4 linked regions of the Arabidopsis thaliana genome follow. The protein of the gene in region 1 interacts with the protein of each later gene in a pairwise test. Each region holds a gene or a part of one and is shown in the gene's direction. Other genes may lie near its edges. The genes, in order: AGL23, AGL92, AT2G35910 and WOX14.

The links.
Region 2: the proteins of AGL23 (region 1) and AGL92 interact in a two-hybrid assay, tested with the Arabidopsis thaliana proteins (one large-scale study listed by BioGRID).
Region 3: the proteins of AGL23 (region 1) and AT2G35910 interact in a two-hybrid assay, tested with the Arabidopsis thaliana proteins (one large-scale study listed by BioGRID).
Region 4: the proteins of AGL23 (region 1) and WOX14 interact in a two-hybrid assay, tested with the Arabidopsis thaliana proteins (one large-scale study listed by BioGRID).

The regions. Positions count from the first base shown.
Region 1 is NC_003070.9:24,278,437-24,284,015, forward strand, and holds AGL23 (AGAMOUS-like 23), read left to right. Parts: upstream 1-2,900; coding exon 2,901-3,212; intron 3,213-3,346; coding exon 3,347-3,715; 3' UTR 3,716-3,797; downstream 3,798-5,579. UniProt on the Arabidopsis thaliana protein: Probable transcription factor that controls female gametophyte (megagametogenesis) development and chloroplast biogenesis during embryo development.
Region 2 is NC_003070.9:11,321,230-11,327,003, reverse strand, and holds AGL92 (AGAMOUS-like 92), read left to right. Parts: upstream 1-2,827; coding exon 2,828-4,085; intron 4,086-4,175; coding exon 4,176-4,312; downstream 4,313-5,774. Other genes in the region: ROPGEF14 (RHO guanyl-nucleotide exchange factor 14), read left to right, coding at 1-101, 174-530. UniProt on the Arabidopsis thaliana protein: Putative transcription factor.
Region 3 is NC_003071.7:15,071,536-15,077,374, reverse strand, and holds AT2G35910 (RING/U-box superfamily protein), read left to right. Parts: upstream 1-3,234; 5' UTR 3,235-3,496; coding exon 3,497-4,150; 3' UTR 4,151-4,488; downstream 4,489-5,839. Other genes in the region: AT2G35920 (RNA helicase family protein), read right to left, coding at 1-75, 181-456, 603-698, 785-1,003, 1,081-1,180, 1,272-1,417, 1,528-1,797; AT2G35900 (Mal d 1-associated protein), read left to right, coding at 5,835-5,839.
Region 4 is NC_003070.9:7,180,607-7,186,769, forward strand, and holds WOX14 (WUSCHEL related homeobox 14), read left to right. Parts: upstream 1-1,951; coding exon 1,952-2,156; exon of another isoform or gene 2,157-2,723; coding exon of another isoform or gene 2,724-2,742; coding exon 2,743-3,129; coding exon of another isoform or gene 3,130-3,146; exon of another isoform or gene 3,147-3,216; coding exon 3,217-3,260; 3' UTR 3,261-3,450; downstream 3,451-6,163. Other genes in the region: HMGB3 (high mobility group B3), read left to right, coding at 68-154, 384-463, 551-587; WOX10 (WUSCHEL related homeobox 10), read left to right, coding at 3,879-4,035, 4,127-4,522, 4,621-4,661; AT1G20720 (RAD3-like DNA-binding helicase protein), read right to left, coding at 5,052-5,096, 5,176-5,298, 5,463-5,534, 5,642-6,163. UniProt on the Arabidopsis thaliana protein: Acts redundantly with WOX4 downstream of the TDR/PXY receptor kinase to regulate procambial cell proliferation and differentiation in vascular tissue, independently of any role in vascular. Involved in the regulation of gibberellin (GA) biosynthesis pathway.

The DNA.
Region 1 (5,579 bases):
CATCTTATAAAATGCAGTATATCTTAAAGTAGTCCTCGTATAAAAACCCTTGCAAGTTGCAACTGTTGAAAATCTAATACAATATTTTAACGCATTTTCCCCCTTTTGACATAAATTCCATAAGTTTCATTTTCTTCAAATTGTAAATTACTGGAGTTTCTTAATCTCTTTTATAACGGATGTACTTATTTAAGAAAAATAGAAAATAAGCATTTGCACAAATTAAGAAAAAGATAAGCATAACCACAACTGAATTAAGAAGGAAGGTTTTGATCGGAGGAAGGTTTTAAAACCACAATTGAAGAAGCCAGCTTGAAAGACCGGGATTAATATATGAATTATGTAGATTTTTATTATTGTGTGATTTGATATTTTCAATTTTAATGTTCTGTTTCAAAGATGATTGACTATATTCCTCGGTTAATAAAGCCAATACATTACAATATATATGACGATATCTGAATGTATAACTCTCTGTAATGTAGATATATTTTTGGTTTCTATGGGGTCAGAGACAATTGCTGCTCTGTGGTTTTTACACACTTGGTTATTTATCGGATGTGTATAGTAGCTTAACATGCTTGATAATTCCATGTATGTGTTTAGAGTTTAGTTTTCATTATCAGATAGATATTAGTTACACTTTATATTGAGGTCCCTAAGTTAAACCATGCATATTCACTATCATTATTTCGGTAAAAGTTAATTATACTCAAGATGGTTTCTCAGTTTGGGGGAGTTGCAAGACTGTAGAAAGACCTTGATCTCCATTGCCTTCACTTCACCATGAGTGAGCTTAAAAGGTAACTTTCATTTTCAAAATGTGATCTTCTGTTATGTCTATGCGATCATTCTAAATGAAACATTAGTAACGTCACTGATATTTCAATACTCAAACTAAACAAACGGATAAAGAGAAAGTGAATTGACTAACAAACTGGTGTATATATGCTTTATATCCAAAGCCTTTTTTCGTTTTGTTTAAGTCGTTCTTATCTCCACTCTCTTTTTTATTTTCTTTGAAGGGCACAATATCACTATTGTATACGGCTTTTGTTGCTAAACTACTTTTTATAACCTATTCCCATGGTGGCAAGAATTTGTTAATGCAATTTCTGGAGAAATAAAGGTAATGTAGTCTCTAGCTGTAAGTAAGGAAATCACTTTAAGAAAATGCAGATACTATACAGGAAATTCGGCTACTCTTGAGAAAAGTCATCTACTTAGGCAAAAGATAAAGTGCAAAATTTAACGTTGATATCCGATATACATAGATAGGAACGAGTACAAATATGAGATTTGTTCTTTACAAAGCAATTTTACATGCACCACCAATACAATCAAAGAAAAATAGGTATCTGCCCAATGTTTTCTGGCGTTTACTTTAGCAAGCAAATCTTGCAATTCATCAAAATGTTTATGAGTTCTTGAAATCATTATAATAATATAAAATATCTAACTTATTTTCCAAATTTTGTCACTTAACATTTAACATTGCCACCACTTATTATAGTTAAAATTTACATTGTTGTAAAGAAATTTCAATAACAAAATATTTAAGAATATTATCCAAGTTTTATTTATTTATTTATATATTTTAATTATAAAACTCCAAATAAAATAAACATTTAAAATAATTAAAATACTATGGCATAGTATTAGAGTGAGTCGATTTCTAGTATAATCAATTATATACTTTTATTGTCAAAATATATAATTTACTCCTACAATGGTAATTTATTATTGTTATAATGTTTGGCATTCAAATTTGTTACCTTATGTGATTGTAAAGTAAAACATAAGATGTCGTCATGTGTCATGTTTAAATTGGATTAATATATTTAAAGATAACATAAACTAGTTTTTAACCTTATCTAAAAAGAGAGTTATACATTTATTTATTTAGATATTTTTAATATGACAATAAAAATTTGAAAATTCGGAGATAAAACATAATTTAATTATTTTTACATCAAAAGTCGGCAGTCTAAAAATTCAAAAGCAGGCGATTAAAAATAAATTATTGGACAACTTTTTTAATTTAGATATTTTTAATACTACAACAAAAAGTTGAAAATAATTTTAATAATGAATTATTATACAATTGTTTTTATTTAGATAATTTTAATCTTATACAAAATACTTGAAAAGGCGGCGATGACATAAAGTATTAAGGAACTAATTTAGTTGGATTCTTTGTAACATCCAAAAATAAAAACTTAGAAAGGGGAATCAATCTTAGAGATGTGTGAAATATATATATATATATATATATGTTTATCTCACAATAAAAACTTGAAGAGTCGGCGATCACAGTTAAAATATCAAACAACTATTACTTAATATGCAATAAGAACTTTGAAAGTCGGCGATCAAACTTAAATTTATATTTTTCAATTTTCTATATAATAAAAGGAAGTTGGACATAATATTTCATTAATGCATTATGAATTTTATATAAATCTTAAACACTTAATAATTATTTATTTTATTTTATAAGATTAGTTTGATTAATAAAAAAGGTTAAAAAGGATATTGACTATAGAAAATAATGGAAAAAATCCTTTAACCAATCATTGGTACCTATATTTGATAGGTTTGTAATAGGAAAGATATCCCCAAAATTTTTAATAACTTGACAGGCTGTAACAAATATAATAGCTAAATGATAATGTTATAGATAAAACTGTAATAATTATATACCTTTTATTGACAAAATCTGTAAATCTGTATCTAAGCCTTAAATGGTAATTTATAATTTATTTCTAATATATAAAATAGGAAATTATATTTACATTTAAAACTCTAAACAAATTTTGTATGTTTTTTTCTATAAATACAAAGACATATTATCTTTAATACAATCAATTCAATTTTTCTTTCTTCAAAACATCTAAAAAATGGTGAAAAAAACTCTTGGTCGTAGAAAGGTAGAGATAGTGAAAATGACTAAGGAATCAAACCTTCAAGTCACATTTTCCAAGAGAAAAGCTGGTCTTTTTAAGAAGGCTAGTGAATTTTGCACATTATGTGATGCAAAAATTGCGATGATCGTGTTTTCACCAGCTGGAAAAGTATTTTCTTTTGGTCATCCAAATGTTGATGTTCTGCTTGACCACTTTCGAGGGTGTGTTGTAGGACACAACAACACAAACCTTGATGAAAGCTACACAAAGCTTCATGTTCAAATGCTCAACAAATCCTACACTGAGGTAAATGTCAATTGTTGGCAATATCTAATATTTGTTTCTCTCTTATTTTTCGATTTTGATATTGAATATTATATAAATGTTTCACAATTCATGGATATTCTTAACAAATTCATTATTCGTGGATTTATTCGTAGGTGAAGGCGGAAGTAGAAAAAGAACAAAAGAATAAGCAGTCGCGGGCTCAAAATGAAAGAGAAAACGAAAACGCTGAGGAGTGGTGGAGTAAGTCTCCATTAGAACTCAACTTAAGTCAATCAACCTGTATGATACGTGTTCTTAAAGATTTGAAGAAGATAGTTGATGAAAAAGCAATTCAATTAATCCATCAAACAAACCCAAACTTCTATGTTGGAAGTTCTAGCAATGCTGCTGCTCCAGCAACTGTTAGTGGTGGTAATATCTCCACAAACCAGGGGTTCTTTGATCAAAACGGAATGACGACTAATCCTACTCAAACACTTCTGTTTGGATTTGATATTATGAATCGCACACCAGGAGTTTAAATAAGTCTATCCTCATTATGGGTCTTGGTACTATAAGTTCATCTCTCTCGTTGTTGACTTTTTAAGTCTCCAATAGTTTGTTGTGTCTTTTTTTTTTTTTTTTTTTTTTTTTTTTTAATTGTTGGTGTCGTATGTCTTTTAATTAAGTCTTGAGTCAATTGGCTTGTTGTTTCTTTTCGTTGTTCTTTGTGTCTTGTAGCTTTCGATGTTTTTTGGTGGAACATGAATAAAGCTATATGAAGTTTTATAATATTTTCATTACTGTGATCTTATATGTTTATTGTGTATATGGAACTATATATTTTTGAGGCATAGTTAATATTCTAGTAATTTCCCAAAGATCTATATAAGTCTAGTAATTTACAACTTTGATATGCTATATTAACTCAGCCAGCACAACCACAAAGCTATAGACATCACTCTTTGCTGTGAATTGGCTAGACTGAAAGTACTCAGGATCCATATATCCCATCGCGAAACTTTGGCTCGATATTTCTCATCTAACATGATGTTTGTAGACTTGACGTCTCTGTGATAGATTGGAGATGATTCAGCCGAGAGCAAGTATGAAAGAGCTCATGCAATATCCACTGCTATGCGGAGACGTACATCCCAAGTAATCATCGTGAAATCATCAGCTTATCGTGAAGATGCTCGAAAAGGTTGCCATTGGGAATAAACTCGTAGACGAGAAGAAGGACATTTGTCTCATTACGGAAACAACCTAAGATTTTCACGATTCTATGGTTAATCTGCGAAAGAATTACAACCTCATTGATGAACTCTTCTAGCTTGTCTGCGTCCACAACTTTGGGTTTCTTTACTGCTACAATTCTAGCATCGACAAGCATTCCCTTGTACACAGTACCTTGACCACCCTGACCAAGTATTCTATTTAGGCTGAAGTTTTCAGTGGCTTTCTCTAACTCACTCGAGCTGAACACTCTTGTCTTCTCGACATTGCCTTCTGTTGAAGTCAATTGTTGTTGCAACAATAAACCCCCAGTACGTTTGAAGAACTTTCTCTTTTGGTTTAGCCTCATTTGTTTTCTACTAAATTTTATAACCAATATACTCCACCAATGAAGATTAACAAGCCTAACCCTGCAAACCGGCAAAAACAAAATGATTAGATATATCTTGGAAATATAAATACTAAAAAATGAATAACTTCTATTTTATTTTATTTTGGTGTGTTGAATATTAACTTCTTTTATTGCTTGTGTAGATGGTAATATTAATTACTAATGGCTAATTAGGGGTGTTAATTTGTGTAAATTCTCATTTATTTAAATGCGAATTACTTTGATCCATACGGACCTATTTAGACCAATTTATAATTTAAGCAATATATATCACTACAAAAAAACGGCCTTTAACGTCATTTTATTTAGATGTTAACCTCGGTATTTATATGACCTAGTTATAATGACATCCGTATTTAATTGACAATTAATAACATCGGTATTTAACTGATTTTGAGATCTAAAAATAAGAAGAAAACTTTAAATACAATTACTGACCTTGGCATCCGACGTATGGGTTGCCGTTGTAACCGCTATTGCATGCACAACTTGCATATCTTAAATTCACATTATAATCACATACATGGATCAATAAATTCCTTCTTATTGTACTCTGTTAAATTCTGGCATCCCAAAGAGTCTATAAACGAAAGATCCGTAGTGTGAATAAACCATCCTAGCTCAACGTGAGAATATCGTAGAGCATGGATCTGTTGTGGACTGTATCTACCCAACATATCATACGGTTCGTCTGTTAAGAAAGCAAATTTGCACCCTTTAGTTGTTGTGTAACTTGTGTTACTATCTTCTATTTTGACACCAACAGTCAACACGTTGAA
Region 2 (5,774 bases), about 13 Mb from region 1:
CACTCTTGAACCGAGCAGAAGCGCTTAGAACTCAGATCAAATCCAAACACCCTAATCTCCCTCACTCGTTTCTTGATGCTACAAAGATCCAATATGACAAGGTATAAATAAACAAAACTAACTACATCTTTCTTAGTCCAATGGTCTGAAACATCTTTCTTCTCTGTGTTCAGGACATAGGTCATGCGGTTCTCGAAGCATATTCCCGAACACTTGCGAATCTAGCTTTCCGGATTCTTTCAAGAATGGGAGAAATCTTGAAAGAAGATTCTTTAAGCAACCCTAACTCTCCTGCACCACCGAGTTGCTTCCCTAGCTCCCGTGACCCTTATAGGACACCTGAGAGACCTCTGCTTTCGTCCCGTGTAAGGCATTCTTTAACCGATGACATGAACAAAGCCGATGGGACAGAGACTGGTTTAGATTTTTTGTTTGCAGATGCTAAGGCAAGTAATTCAGTGAATACAACTCCAAGTAGAAGCAGTAGACTGTGGTGTTTGAGTAAAGTGCCTTCTGATACTTCTCCTTGATTTAGAGGGTCTTCCTAGTTCGATGCGTGCCACCTGAAGCTTCTCCTTTACTTTGAAGGTTTTAAATTATGAAGCCTGAGATGTTGTAAATGTATTAACATATTGCAGTTAAAGTACGAATTCATACAATTTTGTTCATAACTTCACGGTGAAAAGCAAATTTTTAATCCGGGAAAAAAAATTGATACGATTGATTATGATTAAATTTATTAGTCTCTTCCAGAAAATACTTTACAAAATAAGGTATATTCAAAACAAAAATGTCCAAAACCATAATCTATTTATAATATACTAGACTAGAATCATTTTAATTACTACTTTCTTGAAATCTAATTTGAATCTCAATTAGGTTACTATCCCGACTTCCATCTTTGAATGAAGCATTAGCTGTCATCTCGACAAATGATCAACTAACAGGTATTTTCACCAAGCCACTATCTTTTGCACACTTCCATTAAGTCACTAGCAAGATTGGAGTATAAGAAGTCTTCATTTAGAAGGGATCTATCTTGGTTGGATATGTACATATTATGGGCTTAAGGATAATTTGAAATTAGCACAAAGCCTTAATGAGTTTCCGTTTGTACATACTACCTAATAAGTATAACAAAATGGCAAGCTTCACTTCGTCTATCATCCCGACACTAATGAGGTTTTTTGGGTTGGATTTAAGTTCAACTGTGCCATCCGATACTAACACAAAATATTGTTAAAGGCCAATTATGCTTACTAACTCAAAGAAAATCGAACAGACCATAATTGTTTTCAATATAGCAAGTATAGAGATCAAATGGATCTTGATTACCAAAAAACTGTTCTTGTAAAAAATTTCATATACATATAACTCAATAAGGACCTATAACTTTTCAAAAGATTATTTTACCATATTTAAAAAATCTTTAACTAAACTTTTGAACATGACCTATATATATAGTTCAAACATCCTAACTAGACATATAAATAAAAATGAAAATTATTGGAGGGTCTTAATAAGATACTCCCCCATTATAATCATAACTAAAAAAAAATTTAAGATAGAAAGAAGAGAAAATTTCTCAAATAAGAACTTTGGGTATACTAACTAGAACTTTACAATTGTCTCTTTTTAATTGTTCATTTTTATTTTTAAATTAAAATTATTAAAAATATTAAGACTTTAAAAGTTGGGATACTTTTTTGGGATATGTGAAAACCATTGGAAGTGCTCTAAACCTCTTGTCAAATTTCTAGTTTCAAATATTTACAGCTCATAATTAGCTGGCAGTACAATGAATATTTTAACCAAATTAAGAAAAATATATGCTCCAAAAGGTATAATATATGCATGAATTCATAATTTATCTCTAAAATAACTGATTTTCTTTTATATCCAATCATGATTTTACACGTGTACATTAATTGATACGTTTTAATGTCATAAATAGTCATATTAGTGTATAAGTCAAAAGATGGAAAAAATCCATATATATTATTATATTAATGTATAAAGACAGTTTTACCCTTATTTCCTTTTAATTAAAATCAACTTATTGACTAAACAAAATTAGATGGACCTTCTGGCCATGGCAGATTTTTTAAAAATATTTTATTAAAAATTTAATTCATATAACTAAATCTGTGATTTTAATATTTTATAAGGAAAAATTTCTTTATTACTTTATTATTATTTTTTATATTTTATTATTGTAAAGATAAATTTTTATACATATAAAAGAGCATTTTTTATATATTAAAACATGATAGAAATTTTAATGATATTTATTATTTTATTATATTGGTTTACAAACTTTTTTCTATGTAGGCTTCCTTTAATGTCTACATATTTCAAAATTTTCGCTCGTTCTAAATATTTCGTAAGACACGTTAATTCTTTCCCGAAATAATTTTACTATAGATAAACAAAGTTCCTAAGCTTTTATATATTCATGATTTTACATGGAAATTAAGCTGTAAAACTCTATTCGAAAAGAAAAGAAAAACACTTAAAATATTAGAAATTTTCACAGTTTATCAAAGCTTAATATTACTCTTAAAAGAAAAGTGAGTAATATACGAAGATAAACTATATTTAGTAAAGAGAAAAGAGAATCCAATCTTAGTCATAGCTTTAATTAGTGGCCTAATCAATTAATAAGACAGTAGCCAAAAGATTTAATGCTGTAACTACAAATTAATGAGTCCAGAAACGTGATAAGCCACACCCTGAGTAAAAAATCACCCTTTTCGTTGCTATATAAACAGTCTTGGGCCAAGAAACTAAACAAACACAAACACCAAAGAAAAGAAAAATAAAGATAATGAGGACGAAGACTAAGTTAGTACTCATACCTGATAGACACTTTCGGAGAGCCACATTCAGGAAGAGGAATGCAGGGATAAGGAAGAAACTCCACGAGCTGACAACTCTCTGTGACATCAAAGCATGTGCGGTAATCTACAGTCCGTTCGAGAATCCAACGGTGTGGCCGTCAACCGAAGGTGTTCAAGAGGTGATTTCGGAGTTCATGGAGAAGCCGGCGACAGAACGGTCCAAGACGATGATGAGTCATGAGACTTTCTTGCGGGACCAAATCACCAAAGAACAAAACAAACTAGAGAGTCTACGTCGTGAAAACCGAGAAACTCAGCTTAAGCATTTTATGTTTGATTGCGTTGGAGGCAAGATGAGTGAGCAACAGTATGGTGCAAGGGACCTTCAAGATTTAAGTCTTTTTACTGATCAATATCTTAATCAGCTTAATGCCAGGAAGAAGTTCCTTACAGAATATGGTGAGTCTTCTTCTTCTGTTCCTCCTCTGTTTGATGTTGCGGGTGCCAATCCTCCTGTTGTTGCAGATCAAGCTGCGGTAACTGTTCCTCCTTTGTTTGCTGTTGCGGGTGCCAATCTTCCTGTTGTTGCTGATCAAGCTGCGGTAACTGTTCCTCCTCTGTTTGCTGTTGCGGGTGCCAATCTTCCTGTTGTTGCAGATCAAGCTGCGGTTAATGTTCCTACTGGATTTCATAACATGAATGTGAACCAGAATCAGTATGAGCCGGTTCAGCCCTATGTCCCTACTGGTTTTAGTGATCATATTCAATATCAGAATATGAACTTCAATCAAAACCAACAAGAGCCGGTTCATTACCAGGCTCTTGCTGTTGCGGGTGCCGGTCTTCCTATGACTCAGAATCAGTATGAGCCCGTTCACTACCAGAGTCTTGCTGTCGCGGGTGGCGGTCTTCCTATGAGTCAGTTGCAGTATGAGCCGGTTCAGCCTTATATCCCTACTGTTTTTAGTGATAATGTTCAATATCAGCATATGAATTTGTATCAAAATCAACAAGAGCCGGTTCACTACCAAGCTCTTGGTGTTGCAGGTGCCGGTCTTCCTATGAATCAGAATCAGTATGAGCCGGTTCAGCCCTATGTCCCTACTGGTTTTAGTGATCATTTTCAGTTTGAGAATATGAATTTGAATCAAAATCAACAGGAGCCGGTTCAATACCAAGCTCCTGTTGATTTTAATCATCAGATTCAACAAGGAAACTATGATATGAATTTGAACCAGAATATGAGTTTGGATCCAAATCAGTATCCGTTTCAAAATGATCCATTCATGAATATGTTGACAGAATATCCTTATGAATAAGCGGGTTATGTTGGAGAGCATGCACACATCCCTTTCATGGACGGAAACTACTACAACTACCACCAGCCACCAACCGTTGGTCTTACTTCCACCGGTCACATGCCTTCCACCACCACCACCACCACCAACAACAACAACAACAACAATGTGTGATGTGTTTCAGTAGTGTGCATTTTGTGTTTTGTTTGTTTTAAAAGACCAGTATTTAATTATGCTTTTCCTTTTCAATTAGTTGTTGTAAGAGTTGAAGGTTTTACCTTTAAGTCAGTTCTATTTCAATGAAGTCATTTCTGTTTGGTCACAAATTATTTTTTACGAGCTTTTTGTTCTTAAAATGCATAACTAAATAGATCTGCCAAAATCAGATAGGATTTTGTTTCCAAAAAACATCAATACTTTTCAAGCCTTCATTATGGTTAAATACTTATATGATTAAATATTTTGAAGAGAGTTCAGGACGGAAGTTGTATATATAGGAGGAGAAGTACCATTGAGTATATATACGAGGAGAACCATTGTTGAAATTGGTCGCAGTGAATCACTCTTGAACCGAAAAGAAGCGCTTAGAAATCAGATCAAATCCAAACACTCTAATCTTCCTCACTCGTTTCTTAATGCCACAAAGATCCAATATGGCAATGTAAACATAAACAGAACTAATTACATCTTTCTTAGTTTATGTTCTGAAACATGTCATACTTTACAATACAATTATTTGTCGATATTAAATCCTTCTTCTTTGTTTTCAGGACATTGGTCATGCATGGGCTTCTTGAAGCATATTCCCGAACACTTGCGAATCTTGCTTTCTGGATTCTTTCAAGAATGGGAGAAATCTTGAAAGAGTTATAACTCCCTTGCACCACCGAGTAGCATCCTTAGCTCATGTGACCCTAAAGAGCACCCCAAAGGCCTTTGCTTTGGTCCCGTGTAAGGCCTCTCCGATGGGACAGAGACTGGTTTTCTATTTTTTGTTTGCAGTTGCTAAGGCAGGTAATTCAGTGAATACAACTCCAAGTAGAAGCAGTAGACTGTGGTGTTTAAGTAAAGTGCCTTCTGATACTTCTCCTTGATTTAGAGGGTCTTCCTAGTTCGATGCGTGCCACCTGAAGCTTCTCCTTTAAAAACCGTTTTAAAGACTGTATTAAGATTGAATATGGTTAAATTGATTTGGCTCTTCTGAAAATTTTAAATAAAAAGCTGAGATATTAAGAAAATAAGGTATATTTTAGGATATGCATATATTATGGGCCTAAGGTAATTTGAAATTAACACAAGCCTTAATGTATCTCTATCTGTACCTATCACCTACTAAGTATTCATTAAGATTTTTTTTTAGAAAAATGGCTTCCTAGCGTTCTATTTCAACTATAGGCTTCACTTCGTGTATCATCCCAACACTGACGAGGTTTTTTGGGTTGGATTCAAGTGTGTACTTCAACTAAGAACATATTTTTGGTGACCAGTTATGCTTACTACAACGTTCAGATAAGATCGACTATACCTTGAATTGTTTTAGTATGTGTAAATTAAATACATAGATTAAACGGATCGTGATTACCAAAAAAAGTTCTTATGTATATATATGGACCTTATTTAAGATATCTATAGTTAA
Region 3 (5,839 bases), on another chromosome or scaffold:
ATCTTCATTCATGCCTCTTTCGTGAATCTCATCCACGAGCAAATGGCTTACGTTAGTTAGATTAGGATCCTCAATCTGCATTTCAACAATTGATTCGACATTTCAAAGTAAAGAAGCTTAAAATATCATACTTCAACTACATGTGATGAGTAGTTGAGTAGTAGAATAGTTGTATCTTACCAGCCGCCGGAGTAAAACACCAGTAGTGCAAAATAGCAATCGTGTTTGATCAGAACGCTTTGATTCTAGACGAATCTGATAACCCACAGATTCACCAATGGATTCACCTCTTTCAGCAGATATACGAGAAGCAACAGATATGGCCGATATACGTCGAGGTTGAGTGCAAATTATGTTGCAATCAGCACCTCTTAGGGATGATATTTCTTCTTCCAATATAAATTGAGGAAGCTGTGTTGTTTTACCACACCCGGTCTCTCCTGAAACTACCAATACCTGAAAAATAAACAACGGACACAACTATAAGCGCAAGATCAACACAACACAAGACAACTAAAAAAAATAGCTTGACAATATTATTGGAGAGAGGCAGAAATAATAGCTGATGGAATACAGAGAAGAAAAACATACCAAACAATTACCTGGTTTTGTGAAACAGAGTTAAGAAACTCCTCTTTCATTTTAAAAGCAGGTAGCTTTTCTCTGAACGCTTTAAGTGCTTTTACACTCTCAGTTGCCTGTGTTGAAACGGTTATAAATTGATGTTATGTCCAGAATCTACATCTACCATAATGCATACGGTTTACTTTAGCAATACATGTACCTTAAGCTTTTCCTGCCTTTCCTTGAGTGCAAAACTGAATTTTTCTTTCTCAAGAGAATCCGGCAATTTGGAAGCAGAATCAGGTCTTTTCAAGCCAAGAGTTGAAGTACGATCCTGTTGATCGTTAAAAGCTGAAGCAGAGGCACCAGAGGACCCTGATTCTTGTGTTGTTTTCAAAAGACTTCCAAGTTTTCTCTCAGTCTCTGTGGACATTTTAATCTACAAGAAAAAGAGTATAAGCGTTTCAGCAGCCACCACTGAGTACAAAACTTTCGTACTAGCAACATCTCTATTACCTCTTTCTGAGTGGATCCATGCCGTTCATCAAGATCCGCTCGATAATCTGGTAAAGGAACTTTGCTAACAACAAGAGCCTTCCCTTTATTGTACGCATGACTTCCATTCCAAAAAACGATAAGCAAATTCATGACATACTCTCACCATATGGACTTAAAACGAAGTTGTCGAAGAAGATATAGAGACTTACAAGTAAAGACCCATCTGCAAAGCCATATCAGAAAGTGTTTGCTGATCTCCACGGCTAAAATTACGCTTAATTAGCATCTCTTGTTCTCCTCCTGTTTTCCATTGCTCAATCTTGTTCCACCATTCATTCTCATCAAGTACTTCCATCTGAGATAAATTATGACTACTTCATCATCTGATTCGAAATTATGTATCAATGTCTAATCGTTAAATTGAAGTAATGAACTCAGAATCTACAAGAACAATGTATCAATTACCTCAGCTTGTTGCTGGCGCAAACGCTCAGCTCTCCACACAGGATCCCACCATCGCTGTTCCCCCCGGCCGCCACCACCACCGCCACGACCGCCGCCGCCGCGTCCACCACGACGACCGGAGGAATGACCTCCGCCTCGACGACCACCTTGAGAATTAGGACCGTGAGGAGGCATAGCGGCGGTGTGAAAGAGAGGACGAAGCGGAGAGAGTTTGGAAGAAAATGGAAGGAGAAAGCGAAGCGTGGAGAAACAAGAGAGGGACTGTTGCATTCGTAATGAATATAAAGTTTGAAACAGTTTAAAGTTGAACTCGCACTGACGACTATTTTTGCTTATTGGAAAATTTTGTATTGAATTTTGTATTACACTATACAAGATAACACACACATATGATATGAGTGACTTAAACCTAATTTAGCTTCAACTTTCAACCATACATACACATTACACATATGAGTAAATCTAATATCATTAGCCGGAAGATATGCGCTTTTTGTGAAATTACTAGATCAACAGTATTTGATACATCACCAAACTGATAGCAAATTAGTAATGATGGAACTAATTTGTGACACCACCAAACTGAGTCAACTATGAGACTTGGACAACTTATTCCAAGAGTGAGTTAACAATAAAAAAACAATGTCAGGATTATAACATTTTTTTCTCTCTTATTATTTCTTCCAAACTTTTTATGCCTAGTAGTAAGTGTTTCCTTTATATATTTGGCCTAAGTAGCTCAATTAGTGTTTGAGTGTAATTTCATATGTTTTGAGTATCCGGCCCAAATATATGGCTTGAAGGTCATAAATTGTTTATCTAAATTCATATTGTTTTAGATGACATAGACTATAGAATATATGATTGGGAATCCGGAGCTATGGGTTTTAAAAGCCCATAGTTACTCTACTGATTGGGGAAAAAAAGAATTGAAAAATTGGAAGAGCGGCGGCAATAATTAAGTGTTCAATAACAATGGTGTATTCGAATATCAATTAAAATTCACTGAATACATTCATTCTTCACCAAATGAATCCGCCCCTGGATAATATACGTTCATTTATCTCCATTCTTAATTACATGTATATCTGTTTATATACTATCATAGCTAGTGTATATTAAAATATACATCATGCGAGCATGCAATGACGCATTTTCTTCATTAATAACAACTGTCCAACAGATTGTTTTCCATTATCAAAGATGCCTTGTGTTAGTAACTTGGCCGTTAAGTGAATGATTTTTATCCTATGGTAGTTTGCCAAAATATAATTTTATGTAATACAAATGTTAATGCCCACGACTCAATTGGTTAAATTTGGATTTCCTAGTATATACAAATTATTTACCTACAATTATATTTTATTTTATTGTCTTGCCACTTTTAGGAGAAAAACAAAACTTTATATTAATCTTCTAATATGGAGAGATTTCAAAGTTTTAAATATTCTAATACTAAAATAAGATAACACTGCGACTTTAAAAGCAAGTGAAGGAAACTAAACGTTGCTTAGGTGACATGATTGGACTTAAATAAGCCTGAATAAAGGAGATAACTAAACGTACATAAACAACAAGATTAGTATATAAGTACAACGTTGACTTCAAACTAATTCAGCGTAAACCTTCTCTAATCTTAGCCACTGGCCCCTCCCTACATTCCTAAATCAAATCTTAATACATGTCACACGTTAAATTCATTAGCCCTGTATCCAATTCAATTGTGCAACTAAGTGTTTTATGTTTGAAATAAACAACGAATTAATGGGTCAATATATTTATATATGCGTTATACTATTACAGTATTACCAATACAATATTAGAAAATTTATACATTGAATATTTTTTTAACCATCCACAAGTCACACAATTCTTGCTTTGCTTTGACAAGCTTTCTTATCCTCATTCACATGCATTTCCTCCCTTTGTCTCTCTCTCTCTCTTAGCGTTGACTTTTGATAACCCCAAGATGCTTCAATTTACATTGTCTTATATCAAATCGCTGACCAAAAACCTCTCCATTATTTCTCCTCTTCCTCCTCCCAAACCCATTAAACAAAACCATCAAACCAAACCCGCCATGAACAATTTCCAACCACCGCCACCGTCCGAGATGCCGGACTACAACGGCCTCCTCGGCACGGACGACATAGGAGGATTTCGATACGGAATCGGTGTCTCCATCGGGGTCCTCCTCCTCATCACCACCATCACCCTCACCTCATACTATTGCACACGTAACCAGCTCTCTTCTTCACCTTCACAAACCAACCAAGATTCAACACGTATCCATCACCATCACCACCATGTCATCATCGACGTTGTCCCCGGTCTTGACGAGGACACCATTCAAAGCTATCCAAAGATTCTCTACTCGGAAGCAAAGGGACCAACAACGGCGTCGTGTTGTGCCATTTGTTTAGGAGACTACAAGGGAAAACATCTGCTGCGGCAGCTACCAGATTGCAACCATCTCTTCCACCTTAAATGTATCGACACGTGGCTTAGACTCAATCCTACGTGTCCTGTGTGTCGGACTTCGCCGCTTCCAACTCCTCTGTCTACTCCCCTCGCCGAGGTTGTCCCTTTAGCCTCCTCCGTGGCCGCCACAAGAATGTCCTAGTGATTTGTTTATTTTATAACCGAAGAAATCGAAATCTTGACTAATCTCCGGCTTAAACTCGTTATTAATTCTTCTTTTAATTCCTTGTAAATTTGTTATTTTTGGTCACTAACTGATCACTGTATATACACTCTTCGAAGCCGAAGATTTGTAAGAGAAAGGAGGTTAAGGATGAATTTTTCACAATTTTGTTGGATTAGTTTTTCTTTAAGCAATGTGAACGAGTTTATCTATACATACGTACCAAGAAAGAGTAATTAAAGTCGTTTTGAATATTGGCAAATATGTTTCTTGGCTTGTATTGAACTTTGAGAGATCATTTTAAATATTGAGACGTCAAAGAAAAAAAAAAGAGTTTGAGGACAAGTTGGAACTTAAGATAATGGGATCGAATCAATTAGGCGTTTTTGATAGTCAGTCTGACAATCTTTCTCAATCATATGGTTTATTTATTAGCAATTTTTTTTTTGTTAAACAAAACCAGATATTTAACAGCGTATTTGTCTTATTGGGTAAACCGTTAGCCAATACATATGATGATATGAGAAAAAGACTTTTATGAGGACCTTAAGAAAAGATATAAAACGTTGATTAAGAGATATAAATCAAGAAGAAAAAAAACACTTGAAAACGATTGTTTTTGTCTCCAATCTCAAGCTGGCTGAAATTAAGTAGGTGAGATGATAAAAATGAGTTGACCATGATAAAACTACTCTTATCTTATTTAAAGTATTCGGTAAACAAAAATATTACTCCAAATATTAGGAACCATGATCGAGAGAGAAAACATGGTGAAAAGCTCAATTTCTCATTAATGATTCAAAGAGTTTGTTACAATCGTTTATAGTCAACAGACTCAATAACCAGAAATAACCAAAGATATGCTCAAATTCATTTTTACAAACACTCAAAAGTGATATGCTCTTTCTCTCGGCTCTGTATTCCTTTCATAACAAGACAAACCGAGGTCGTTCAAACCATCATCGGTAACGTCGAAGGCTTCAACTTGAAGCAATGATGCTGATTTAAGACTTATTGTGCTAGGCTTCTTAATATTTTGGCCCATCTGCCAGAATTAATGATGAATACTTTCATATTGGGCCCTGAGAAATTGACTAAGACCCAATTGTTCACAGCAATGTCAAAAAATTTACCCAAAAAATCTTTCTTTCCCATCTTTTAACTTCAACTTTTATTACTTTTTATATAATCTATTTTCCTTAATAAGAAAATTAAATACTGAATAAATTCTAAATATTTGATACATTCTAAACATTTTTATTATGTAATGGTGAATGTCTAAGTATTTCTCAAAATTTTAGTTACAACTCTGATCTACTAAGAAAGTATCTATGAAAAAAAAGAATAAGATACAAGGTAATAAAATGAGTGGATCTTAAACGCGAATACAATAAATCAAACAATTTGAGACGCATCATACGTTAAAAATCTATTAACCAGCGGTCTTCCGGTTCAGATTGAGAAATTTGACTACTTTAGTTTGGTTTGATTTGGTTCAAACTTTTTTCCGACCCGTGAAGAAAAAGAAAATCCTCACGCGCCGGTAAGTCGGTTTCACGAACAAAGAGGCCTGAGTATAAAAAAACAAATCGGACGCTTCGAGTTTTTCTTGAGGAAGAATCCACACACACACAGAAGAAGAATCTCATCACGAATTTTAGCTATGGG
Region 4 (6,163 bases), about 17 Mb from region 1:
AAAGTTGTGTGTATTAAGTCAATTGTTTCAAGCGTTTTATTAACCTGTGGGTGTTATAATAATGCAGGAGAAGGCTCCTTATGTGGCTAAGGCTGACAAGCGCAAGGTTGAGTATGAGAAGAACATGAAAGCCTACAACAAGAAATTGGTAATTGTTTATTTGCATATAGAAGGCTATGTTATGTTTATATTAACCACGTTATTGAGTTGTCTACTCTCTTTATACTAGTCAGTAGTCACACTATTCAAGGCTTTCTTAATTTGTTTACTATATATTGAAGTTTGAGTTATGTTTATTCTAAACAATGATGATACAAGCAACTGGTAATTTGGTTAATGGGGGTGCTTGAATAATGGTGGTGTGTTGTGGTTTCAGGAGGAAGGCCCTAAGGAAGATGAGGAATCTGACAAGTCAGTTTCAGAGGTTAACGATGAGGATGATGCTGAGGATGGCAGTGAAGAGGTAAGTTATTTTACACCTCTGCAATCTAAATATCTGTAGTATGAATCAGTAAAGCTTTGTATTAACTCTGTTATACATGTGATGTAGGAGGAAGACGATGATTAAGAAGTTGAAGTTGTGGTAGCGTAATATAGAAGGCTGCAAGGAATCTCTCGGATGTTTTTATCTCCTCTCTTAAAATGTTAATTCGGGTGGTTAAAGTGGTTTTTTTTTTTTTTCTTTTTCTTTTTCTTACTGATGTTTCGTTTTAGTAAACTATTACCTATCTCCCACTGATTCTACGGGTAATGGAAAAAGTGAATGTAGAATGTTTAGATGGTGAAATGAGAGATTTGTAGCTCTATATAATGAATGATTTAGTTTTTAATTCCTCTACGTTTTAATGCTCTTTAGACTCTTTGTTTCTAGTTGATATGAGGATTTATACCCCTGAAAAAAATATTAGTGTAAACCATGTTTTTACTTAAATCATATTGGGGTTGTGAGTCCTATTGCATAATCACGCTCTTAATCAATGTGTTCCACAAAGAGTAAACCATGTTTTCACTTTTTATTTAGTTATTTGACTTTAGACACAGGTTGGTAAAATTGTTTTGAGGCTATACTTGAATTTTCCAAATTACCAACGCCATGATCATTTGGTTCTCTTTTCATCTTTTGAAAAAAAAAAATGGTTTGCATCAGCTTAATTAAGAGTTTCTCTTTGGATTGTATTACTTCGTTTGATTTAAGAAATAAGTAAAAAATTTGATCATTTTTGACAAAAGTGAAGATTTTAGTGAAAATCTGCGTATTAGCAGCAGAATAGTCTCACTTATGTTATAAATTTTTAGTCAACATCTTTATATCAAAGAACCTTTTTGGTCAAATTCGTACATTTTCTTCTTAATCAACTTAGAAAAAGAAAGAAAGCATGCTCTTCTTTTTCCATCAATAGTTTAATCATTAGTCATAAGTCACAACGATAATATTTTATATAATGCTGTGATTAAGCCTTGCTTCCGGCTTTACCTAACCACTATATACATAAAGTAAGATACACAGTTTGTGTTCCTCTACGGATGTAACAACAATACCTGGTTTTAATTAGGTTGTTTTTATATATTAGTGTGGTGTCTTATTATGTCATCAACACATAGGATTAAGATCTTCTTAGATACATATTTTGGATTAGCACATTTTTCTATTTCAAATGGTAGATATCTTGACCCGTAAAACTCGATTAAAATGTTGAAATTCTAACAAAAAATTGTGAATACCGTCGACCAAAATCTATCCTAGTGAAAGGCCATAGTTCTCCAATGTTTTCAATATGTAACCAATGTAATAAACCTGGTAACTGTAAAAATTAAATTGGTCCAATTGATCATTAAACAAAGACATCTTTCCAAAAAGTGTTTGATTTAACGGTAACAAATAAACTAAAGATCCCTTTATTCATAAACAAAAGAATATATATATCATTCACTTTCTCATTGTCTTGTTCATATGGTAAAAAAAAAAAAGGAAAAGGAGAAAAGCAAAGAAATAGAGGAGATGGATAGAGAGATCCAAAACGGTGCGTATAGTGGGAGAGTGATGACTGAGGAGCAGATGGAGATTCTCCGTAAGCAGATCGCCGTTTACGCCGTTATTTGTGACCAACTCGTCCTCCTCCACAACTCCCTCTCTTCTTACCATCCACTCTCATCAGGTACACTTCTCTCTGTTTTTGTTCCTGATTAACAACAATCACTTTTCTATGTATTTGATTTTTTTACAAGAGACCATTTGATGAGCTTCTTTGTATACGGTAGAAGAAGTGTGTAAGACGAAAGTGTTTAAACGCAGCGTTTTTTGCGATGCAAACGTTGTTTCCATTAATACACTTGACCCATTGAGACTTTAGTGTAAAAATGTGAAAATTGTGTTTGCGTTTGGTATACAACTAACGAAATCCAAGGCTTTTTTTTTCCCAGTGTTCGATGCATAACTTTGAATCAAATTTCATAATGTTTTAGACATTCGAAGACAGTTTACCTACCGCTTAGATATCGATTTATCATTGCTAAAGATATTTGTTAATATAGTTTATGATTTGCTTAGATCGAACAATTCAATATATTATTAATGTTTATTTTCTCTAGACGTAAGCTGATTTGAGGGTTATCATGTCGTGGCCGATTTTTAAGAAGCTTGAGTTATTAGTGCTTTGTGGTTTTGATAATACATATTTTGTACATGGAAGAAACTTAAGGGTCACGTCACTTATTTTTTTATAATGATTGAGTGTAAAAAAGGAGTGAGGCCAATGGTTGGCGGATACTTTGATCCGATGGGGGCATCGTCAAGTTCTCATAGGATATCGACTAGGCATCGGTGGACTCCGACTTCAACACAGCTTCAGATACTTGAGAGCATTTACGACGAAGGAAGTGGAACACCGAATCGACGGAGGATTAGAGAGATCGCGACGGAGCTGTCTGAACATGGACAGATCACGGAGACAAATGTCTACAATTGGTTTCAAAACCGGCGAGCTCGGTCCAAACGAAAGCAGCCTCAAACGACGACAGCTAATGGTCAGGCTGACGATGTGGCGGTGACAACGGAGGAAAGGAGGAGTTGTGGAGATTCAGGGGGATTAGAGTCTTATGAGCATATACTCTTCCCAAGTCCTGACTTAGGTAAAAAGATCATTTGAGTTTTTAAACATTTGGTTAGGTTTATTTTTTATTTTTGGTTTGAGTTTGCATTTTTTTTTGTGGTTTCAGGGATTGAGCATTTGTTGAGTATAGGGAAATTTATGGAGACTTAAAATTCGTATAGACTTCGATGAAGAAGATCTCTAATCTATTCTGTTTTCTTTTACTCTGTTTTCATAAAATAGAATTGTGTGTGTTTGTGTGTGACATTAACAACAAGTCTTCAATTTTATTATAATTTTGTGTTCCTCAACTTGATATATATGCCCACATCTTTTTCAGCATCAGAAAGAAAAGTGATGCCATCTTAAACTCGGTTGATATTTTGACCGGTAAATCTCAATTCAAATGACACTAAAGAGTAGAAGCAATTGACCATAATAACCGATCCTAGTCATGACCATAGCTTTTTTCATTGTTTTTAAATTTATTGTTATCACACAAAAAATCATATAAAATCGGATATTGGTTACATGACCACACAATTAGAATATATATCAATTATTTATCCAATTGAATCCCAAAATTACCTCAATTAACTAGTAATTGAAAAAGAAAAAAAATCAGACAATTGATCCTAGTTTGACATCTTTCCATAAATTGTTTAAAGTTAACGGTAACAAATAACTAAAGATTTCTCAAAAAGAAAAATACATAACACCTTCACTTCCACATTGTCTTCTTCATATGGTAAAAAGGAGAGAGGAGAAGGCAAAGTGGTGAAAGAGGAGATGGAGCAAGAGAGCCTAAACGGTAGGTATGGTAGTAGAGTAATGACGGATGAACAAATGGAGACTCTTCGTAAGCAAATCGCCATTTACGCCGTTCTTTGCGACCAGCTCGTCTTCCTCCACAACTCTCTCTCTTCTGTCCCTCTTCTTTCATCAGGTACGTACACTACTCCATAATTGTATTTGGAAGAAACTTAAGGGTCACGTAACTGAATTTGTATGGTAATGATTATGAGAAAATACAATAGGAATGAATCCAATGAGAGGTGAGTATTTTGATCCAATGGTGGCATCGTCAAGCGCTCATGGAATGTCGACTCGGCCTCGATGGACTCCTACGACAACGCAACTTCAGATTCTTGAGAACATTTACAAGGAAGGCAGTGGAACACCAAATCCGCGGAGGATTAAAGAGATCACGATGGAACTGTCTGAACATGGACAAATCATGGAGAAAAATGTATACCATTGGTTTCAAAACCGACGAGCTCGGTCCAAACGAAAGCAACCTCCGACAACGACAATTACCTCGAGTCAGGCGGATGATGCGGCCGTGACAACAACTGAGGAGAGAGGGAGGTGTGGAGATGATTCTGGAGGGTTTGAGTCTTATGAGCATATACTGTTCCCGAGTCCTGATTTAGGTAACCTCTTACTATATGATATTTATGTGTCTATGCATCGTATTTTGGTTTAATTGAGTCAGAGATGAAAAAATGTGGTGAACTTTTTGTGGTTTCAGGGATTGAGCATTTGTTGAATAGGGACAAGTTTATAGACTGAGTGAAACAAAGATGATGAACTCTCCAACCTCTCTGTTTTTATTTGGTTTTCTCAATAAATTGATATCATCGTATATGATTGTGTGAGGGAGACCTTGAACAAGTTTTTTTTTACTGTAGAATTTGTTTTTCACAAACTTCTGGTAAAACATGTATAGAAACCTTGACCTTATACGAATATGTGTATATACACGTAACTAACTATTCAAGAACTACTCGAGTTAACAAGGGATTGCCACTACATGGACATAAATTAAGTTCTGAACGAAGCTGGGCCATGAGCAAAGTTCCTTGGTTCACATTGGTTTAGGCAACTTGGTGCTGGTTTGGCTTTCTTGACTTATCCCTCGTTATGAATCAGACCGGTTCAGCTTGTTGATGCATCCTTTGTCTAGGCCTTCTTGCTCGTTGGCAAATTTCGTTTAGGTAGTCTCAACTGCACAGAATTAAGATTGTAGATCAGACTAACTGTGTAAACAGAAACCGGAATGCATGTTATTATTGCCTTTACAGACCTTTGATTTTGTAGTCCTCCAGCCTCCTGATTCTTGCTGCTGATTTGGGGAGTATGCAAATCTGTCTATTGACTTTAACACATCACTCTTATCCACAGCTGCATTAGTCTCAGCAAGAGGTTCCTACAATACCCATTAGGTTATTATTATTTTTGCACAGATACCACAAGCTTTGTCCTGAAAGAGTCAAAACAAATTCGCTTCTATTTCAAAATAATTTGCAGCTCCATTTGTTCCAAACTGAAACCTCAAATTGCTTCTAAAGACTTAAGGGTATGCAAGAATACCTTGTGCTTTAACGTTGAATCCTTGCTTGCAGCTTCATTGGTGACTTCTAGATGATCAGCAAAGAACAAAATCTGCAAAGTAAAATTAGATCTTGATATTAGCGAGCGCTCAAGACAATAAACCGAATCACAAATGAGAGACTTGAGCACTCTAAGGAATCACCACTAAGTCAGCTTACTTTGCTCAAAAACTGGACATTTGATGAATCAGTAGCCATGACTTGCACTCCGAGACATGTGTTTGGGATGCTGCAGAAAGGGCAATAGATAGTATTGAAAACACATCCATCTTGCTCGCACCAAATACCCTGACCTTTTAAGCCTTCAAATTTTCTGCAGAGTCTCTGATTAACCATTGAGCAATCTGTCATGATAATTGAAACACTTGTTGACATTTCTGCAGCTCCAGTTCTTGACGTTTTTTTCAGAAGAGACAGCAAATACTTTTTCGATGACGAAGTCAACAAGCAATTGACATATGAGTGATTCTCAGGTAGACCTAATGGACTTCTGCAGAGCGAACAAGATAGCTGCACTTTCTGATTCACTTCTGGAAAAGAATATATGTTGTAGTTTTGGGATCTTGGTTCGGTAAACCCAAACTCAATTCTTCTTGTTAAACTCGTATGATCCGAGGGTCTAGTACTAGGCCTAGGAGCATCACTGTTTTCGACTTCAAGGTCAATGACAGGAGAGCTGGT